Linked DNA regions of Mus musculus. The protein of the gene in region 1 purifies or fractionates together with the protein of each later gene. This does not show direct contact. Links are inferred from orthologs where the notes say so. Each region holds a gene or a part of one and is shown on either strand. Other genes may lie near its edges.

What was found.
Region 2: the proteins of Dusp10 (region 1) and Mapk9 purify together in Homo sapiens (affinity purification with mass spectrometry; 3 studies listed by BioGRID and IntAct, with this or other methods). This does not show direct contact. The link is inferred for Mus musculus from reciprocal best matches to the Homo sapiens genes DUSP10 and MAPK9.

The regions. Positions count from the first base shown.
Region 1 is NC_000067.6:184,072,229-184,076,136, reverse strand, and holds the end of Dusp10 (dual specificity protein phosphatase 10), read right to left. Parts: intron 1,880-3,908; coding exon 1,614-1,879; 3' UTR 501-1,613; downstream 1-500. UniProt on the Homo sapiens protein: Protein phosphatase involved in the inactivation of MAP kinases. Has a specificity for the MAPK11/MAPK12/MAPK13/MAPK14 subfamily. It preferably dephosphorylates p38.
Region 2 is NC_000077.6:49,877,646-49,881,297, reverse strand, and holds part of Mapk9 (mitogen-activated protein kinase 9), read right to left. Parts: intron 3,068-3,652; coding exon 2,885-3,067; intron 1,597-2,884; coding exon 1,472-1,596; intron 80-1,471; coding exon 16-79; intron 1-15. UniProt on the Homo sapiens protein: Serine/threonine-protein kinase involved in various processes such as cell proliferation, differentiation, migration, transformation and programmed cell death.

The sequences.
Region 1 (3,908 bases):
CTTCCCACACCACTTCCAACTGTCTGTGGGCTGAATAGCCAGCACTGTCAAAGTCCGTGTGCACACAGAGCTGATTTCTACTGACTGGGAAAAACACTGGAAGAGTACATCTTTTGCAGCTTGTACTATTGTTACTATAGGGTGAATGTCCCTAAAAAGTGTCATGTGAGCTAGTGTCAATTGAGACGGGACTGTGAAAACCATACAAGGCAGATTGTCACTGATATTTACATGTAGTTACCAGGGAGACAACTGTATATTCTAAATCCTCGGCTTGGCTGTGATTTGGTTATCAGGTCTGGCGGAAGCTGCTCAATCATGAGTCTGCTGTCTCATAGAAAGAGGATGGGGAGGAAGCAGAGGACCGCATCAGTGCTGGGATCCTTAGCCTCCCTCCGTGAGCGGTCCCTCCCGCTTTACACTCTCATCCCCATCTCTTTATACAAACCCGTGCTGAGAGGTATGAGCCTAACCAGAGAAGACAGGCACGTACAAAGAATGACACATCCCCAAACGAGGTTCATTTATATAATGAAAATAAATTCTTACACCATCAACAAAAACACACCAAGGATATTTTTTTTTTGCGAAAAATATTTTTTAAATAAATTTTTGTTTTTTTTTTTGTTTTGTTTTTTTACATTCTGATATACATATGTAACAAGGTGTATGGCACTGTAACCAGAATCAAATCAAAAGAAAGACAAATAAAAGGGGATGAGGAAGAAAGGGGGGGGGGAGAAGGAGAAAGGAGGGAGGGGAAGCCACTGGTACTGTTGAATGCCTGTCTCCAACGCCACTCCTCACTCAGCTGCCAGCTCTCCCTCAGCTGCACACTCCAAACACCATTTTTATTGCACGAGTGCCAGCAAAGGCACATGGTAGAATGGTCAGTTTCCTTCTGCCAAACAAACAAACAAACAAACAAACAAAAAGTTCTCTCAGACCCACAGAAGGGGAAAAGATATCCGGAGCATAGAACACACAAAACCGACACTAGCCTGTCTCCCCAGAGAAGGTGTGAGGCGAGCCGAGTCCACTGAGCTTGCCGGCCCTTTCTTCACACCAGTGAGCACAACTGGGCACGGTTTGGCAGGGTTTGCTTTTGACATGGTTGTGCAGTCAGTTCCAGGTCTGGAGTCTTTTCCATTTCCTTTTGGTTCTTTGTAATTGAAGGGTGGTATCTTCGGTCTATGAGCCCGCACAGACTATTTACTCAAAACTCTACAATAAGCTTACAAGGGAAACTGGGAAGAAACAAGTTTTATAATATTTTTATTTGTTGGCTTAAAAAAACAAAACAAAACAAAAAAGACCTCTTTAACCTAACTGCAATACCAGTTTAAGAGAAGTGGGTCTCATTCGCATCAAAAGTTACAGTCTTCTTACACTTATTAAAAATAGAGTCTTTAGACAAGTTTGTTTACTTTCACAAACACTCCCAACCTTAAAAAAAAAGAGAGAAAGAAAGAGAAAGAAAAGAAGAAAAAGAAAAGAAAAGAAAAGAAGAGAAGAGAAAAGAAAAGGAAAGGAAAGAAGAGCGACAAGCTAGAATCCACCTTCCCTCCTTTTCGTCTCCTGAGAGAGCACAGCCCTTTCCGTCCTGCCCGTTGTCACACAACTGTCTCCATGCCCATGAGCTTTGGTGTAAGGATTCTTGGCGTCACGCCGTTGTTTAGGTCTTCCTCAAATTCCAGCAACTGCCCCATGAAGTTGAGGTTCGGGGAAATAATTGGTCGTTTGCCTTTGACGAATTTGTAAGCGTCAGTCATGGTCATCCGTGTGTGCTTCATCAAGTAGGCGATGACGATGGTGGCGGATCGGGACACGCCGGCCTGGCAGTGGATGAGAAGGCCCTTCCCACACTGGTGAGCTTCCTCTGTGGGACAGAGAGACAAGTGGTAAGAAAGGGGGACAGAGGAAGCTTAACTTCTGCCTGAGTCAACAGTGGTTCCTTTTGCATAGAGAGAATGGATTTCAATGGTTCCAAAGCATGATGGATTCTACATGTTCAAATCTCGAGCTATAGAGTTGGGCCACAATCAGAAATTGGAGCTGTTGGTCTACATTTTCTTAAATTATTAAAAAAAGAAAAATCAGGGTTGGTCCACATGCCACTGTGTGCATAGAGAGGTCAGCAGACAACTGGTAAGGGTCAGTTCTGTTTTTCCACAATATGAATTAGTAGAAACTGGATGCAGGGTGTCAGTCTTGGCAGCAAGTACCTTATTTTATTCACTGAGCCATCTCATTGGCCCTTTACTGTTTTGAGGGGGGAAGGGTATGTGTGTGTATGTATATGTGTGTGTATAATGTACATGTGGGTATGGATGCATGTTTGCATAAGTGCTGATGCATGTTCACGTGTGTCTGTGGAAGACCATGTTCCGTATCATGTGTCTACTTGATCACCCTCCATGTTACACGACAGAGCATCTCTTGCTGGATCTGGAGCTCATTATTTCTGCTGGTCAGGATAGCCAGCTTGCTCTGGGGCACCCCATCTCAGTCTCTTGTGCCATGGGATTCCAGGCAAGCTGCTATAGCTATGTGGCTTTTACGTGAGTTGTGGGGATCCTAGCCCCGATTCTCACGCTTGTGTCATGAGTGCTTCACTGTTGAACCATCTGCCCAGTCCCCTACAGCTCTACATTTAGAAAGATAGAGCAAGGAAGTCATGGGTGGGAAAAGCACATGTCACAGGAGATGGGGAAGGCAGAAGCTATACCTACAACAGGACACACTCAGGAGAAGCAAGCTACTGTGCACCCCATAGTTATCGGACCTCTTTCTGGACAACCTTGTTCCTTTTCTATTTTCTTAACACTGGCATAAAGGGAAGAAAAAGTAGGGAAAGGAGGAGAGAAGGAATGGAGATTATGCCATGCACAGAAATGGGCATGTGAAAAAGGTCTTCTGATTAACAATGTTCATACCACTTTCCAGGCTATATGACTACATGATACATGCAGTGCTATTAGCAATATCTTCCACATGCTAGACACACACACACACACACACACACACACACACACACCTTTATCCTACAGATTGTTCTCTATAAGAGTTAGCATTTAATGCATGGCGTTTTACTAAAACTTCATAGAAGGGAAGGGTTAAAGGTCAGCTGGAAAGTTCCTATACTCAGCTTCTCATCAGAGATGCCAACTGTCATCAGTGAGGCCTGTAGAGTACTGGTCTACCTCATGGCCCTCGGCAGCAGTGTTTCACTCCTCACTTCCACATACCCTGACCCTCCATGGCCATCATCTGGAAGGCACGGTTCCCAAGTAGCTCAGAATAGAGAGCACCAGAAAGTGTTGAGTTTCATATTAAAAGCTTTGGATGCCTGTGAGCACTGGACAACAGTTTTTGTGACATTTCTAGATTAAAACACATCCCCCAGGAAGTGTCCCCAGAGGAATGCAGGTCAATGATAAGGTAGAGGAGAAGGGAGTAAAGAGACTTGTTCCTTAGCTTTAATCACCCACACTGGCTGCTTCCCAGTAGACAAAGAAACAAACAGGATGTAACTATCTCTCTCACCAGTCTGTAGACAAGCTTGCTTTGAGAGACCCAAGAGTAATGCTTCAGGAAAGTCTCCCTTTGTGAACACTAAATGACCTCCCACACCAAGGCCGTAGGACATGGTGGGTGAGAATGAGTGAGGTGCACCCTGAGTGTGACCATCTGTGCCACTAACACACTAGCTGAGTGACCTTGTGAGTCCTTTGACCCCCCCAGAACTTCAGTCTTCCTGCTCGGATAATGCAAAGGACACTAGCTAGCCAGCCTCTGGATCTTTGGAGATGAAGTCATTTGATTCTGGGGTTAAACTGGCATTGTTAAACTCTAAACCTGAACATTGCTTAGTTTATATTAAACTCAGGTGAATGTTATTATGCTGT
Region 2 (3,652 bases), on another chromosome or scaffold:
AAGGACCGGTCTTACCTTTCCACTCTTCAATCGCATGCTCTCTTTCTTCCAACTGGGCATCATAAATTTGAGGTGGTGGCTGAAACGACATGTCAGGTCGATAGCTCAAAACTAATGGGCCATGCTCGGAAGATAACGCTACTTAGAATGTTTCGAGTCTACTTATGGATTTAGTTTAGTTAACATGTTCTAGATGTTTATTTTGAAAGAATATTTTATCAGTTTAAAAAACAGTTACAGAAAGTTAACCAAAAGCAAGCATCAATAATAAATCTCAATCATCACATGTCTTAGTCAGGGTTTCTATTCCTGCACAAACATCATGACCAAAAAGCAAGTTGGGGAGGAAAGGGTTTATTCAGCTTACAATTCCATACTGCTTGTTCATCACCAAGGAAGTCAGGACTGGAACTCAAGCAGGTCAGAAAGCAGGAGCTGATGCAGAGGCCATGGAGGGATGTTCCTTACTGGCTTGCTTCCCCTGGCTTGCTCAGCCTGCTCTCTTATAGAACCCAAGACTACCAGCCCAGAGATGGCACCACCCACAAGGGGCCTTTCCCCCTTGATCAACAATTGAGAAAATGCCTTACAGTTGGATCTCATGGAGGCATTTCCTCAACTGAAGCTCCTTTCTCTGTGATACCTGCAGCCTGTGTCAAGTTGACACAAAACTAGCCAGTACATCACATGACCTCAAAATGTTCTGCAGACATAGCCCAAATGGAATCACAAACTTACTAACAATAGGCAGCTCTGAGGTCAACTGCGTGGGGGCTGAGGGAGGTGTGGTACTTTCCTAGAATATACTTCCAGTTCACAGTTCTTCCTGACAGGACACCCATGCCCAAGCCAGCAGCTCGCGAATGGAACATTCCATAGCCTGGCTGCTCATAAACCTGATTCTTTTGATGTAACACAACAGTACAATGGCAGTTACATCTATACCCAGGCTACAACAGTGCTCCCCAGCTGGCATGAAGTGAACACCCACTGTGTTAGTATTTTACTCATAACTAAAGGACATCTACAAGGGATGCTGTGAAGAAAACTTAAGAGGGTGAGATGCCCAGATGTGGTGGGGAGATGTGAGCTAATGTGTCACTTGGGAAGGCTGCTTAGGTTCTCTGACTTGAGGCTCTGACTAAGATGTAAGCAAAGCTCATGGCCCAGTGCCAGGCATGAGCAGATGCTTCCTAAGTTATTATTACACATCAGCTTTATAAACATAAGGCCAACATCCACCACAGTGCACTCCTGAGCTCTGCAGCTTCAGCCCCAGCAGCAGTGCCAAGAGAGGGGCCAACCTAGGCCTCAGGTAGCAAGGTTTCTATTTTTGAAGTCAGGGCCCTAAAAGTAACAACTTGCTATCCTCATGTAGCCATTCTGGACCAACAGAAGGAAGATCCAAAGACAGTGGGCCCAGTATTTTAAAGTGAGCCCTCTACGCAGACGTTTTTTCCAGAGAACTTACCGCTTCTGCTTCAGCGGGGTCATACCAAACAGTAATATACGGGTGGCGCAAGGCTTCGTCCACAGAGATCCGCTTGTCTGGATCAATCACTAGCATTTTTGATAACAGATCTCTGGCTTGACTTGCTAGGATGTAAACAAATGATGTACTTATGTTGCTACCGTGGAAAAGAGGAAGCCACACAATAAAGAATCAAATGTGAGCGTATGGACAGTAAAGAGACATGCTGACTTCAGAAAATGTTTAAGAGTTTCAAGATCAACACGGCTCACAACCTTTAAAAGTCCAATGGCCACTATTACAAACCAGGCTTTTAGCATGTGAGGTGGGGGTTCTAGGTAACCTCAGACCAGTGTCCAGATGACCTGAAGCTATGAAGCCACAGTACAGTAGGTAGCAAGCACCTCTCTTAGGATGGTGTTGCCAGGAGTATGGACATGAAGTATCAGGAGTATTATTCTTTGTGTTACATTAGAACAAATTTAAAACCTTCTGAGTAACCCACAGTCCCAGAGTATAGCCTCACAGGGACCACTGCTTTGCCTAGCTGTAAACAGTGCTTTTGTTTTTAATCTAGAGGTTAGTAGCCAAGAAAAAAATCAAGAAGCTAATTAACGTAATAAGAAGCCTCAGCAAGGTCTCAGCAATGAAAAGTTCACAAAGAAAAGCTGGGGTTTTTGTGACCAAGGTGCTGCTCACCCCGGTGTGGAGGACAGCAAAGCTATTGTTTTTTCTCAGGTGACCACATTCTAGGAAGGACACATTAGGACAGTGAGGGCCTTTCCCACTGGGCCACACTCAATGGTTTCTGTCTAGAATCCTTATTGAAGTATTCTTTATATTTGAAATTGTTTTGAATTCAGATTGGTGACATCACAATATGGGTCTTATGTGTGTGCGTGAACGTGTATGATATATGCACATGAATGTTTGAGTGTAAGATGTACTCTGAGGCTAGAGGGGAAGTTGGCTGTCTTGCCTTATTGTTCTTCCCCTCCTTCTGTTATAACAGGGTCTCTCACTGAACTAGAAGCACCCAGTTCCCCTAGACTGGCTGTCACCAAGCTTCCAGGACCACTGCTCTCCACCCCAGAGTGTGGGTCACAGGCACAGGCAGCCACACTTGTGCTTTGAGTCATGCTGGGGAGACAAGCTCAAATCCTCACACTTGCAGGCAAGTGTTTTCCCACTCACTGCGTAACCTAAGGGGTTTCTAGACTGCTCTGGGTATTTAGTGACAATGTTTTAGCAAGGTCAAGACTTTTGTCCTTTAAAGCATTCCCTCTGTGGTGCCTTTGAATGTCAGACTCTGAGAGCCTCTATTTCAGGGTTTCCATTACTGCACCTCTTGACATACACGGACTTTAGAGTTAAGAGCTAGAGAAACAAGTGCGAGATAAAAGAGTGCCTTACTTTTTATTTTGTCTCTCTCAGATTCTGACGGAAATATCCAATCTGGAAAGAGCTCTTCAAACTTGATTCCAGGGTACTTTGGTCTGTTTTCCACATAATTCCTTACAGTTGGCTGAAGTTTCTTCATGAACTCTGCGGATGGTGTTCCTAGCTGTTCAATAACTTTATTCCATTGATCAATATCTAAGGATTCTCTTGAGGAAAATACAACTAAAATGCTTCATAGTCATAATACATACAGTCCTCTCATGCAAAGGAAAGTTCTAACATATCTATGAACAAGTAAGTAACTAGGCCATCCTAGAGGATCCGCAGAAACATTTTGGAATAAGACTTAAATAAGGTTTGGATTTCTAAATCCATTAACAAAAACTCTTATACTCTGAATCTTAAAAAGTATGATCATGGTTCATTAAATCAACATAATCTATGTTTTCCTATTATAATTCAAAATAAAATTATGACAAATGATTTAACCTATGAGATAAATGATTAAACAGAAAATAAATATCACATAAGCAAACTGAAATCAATGTTCCTACTAAAGCTACCTGAGATTTACAGGTCTCTCTCTAAATGAATCAATCTGACCTCTCTCACAGCTGGGCAGCAGAGCCTGTGAGACAGGCTGTCCAAGGAAGGGAAGCATGGAGAGGGGAGGGGCTTGGGTTCTGGCCTATCTCAGACCACACTCCCTCCTGAAACTGCCTTAGACAATGATGTTTCAGAGGCCATTCTGTTTCTCTTGGCAGCAGTCCATCCCTTCAG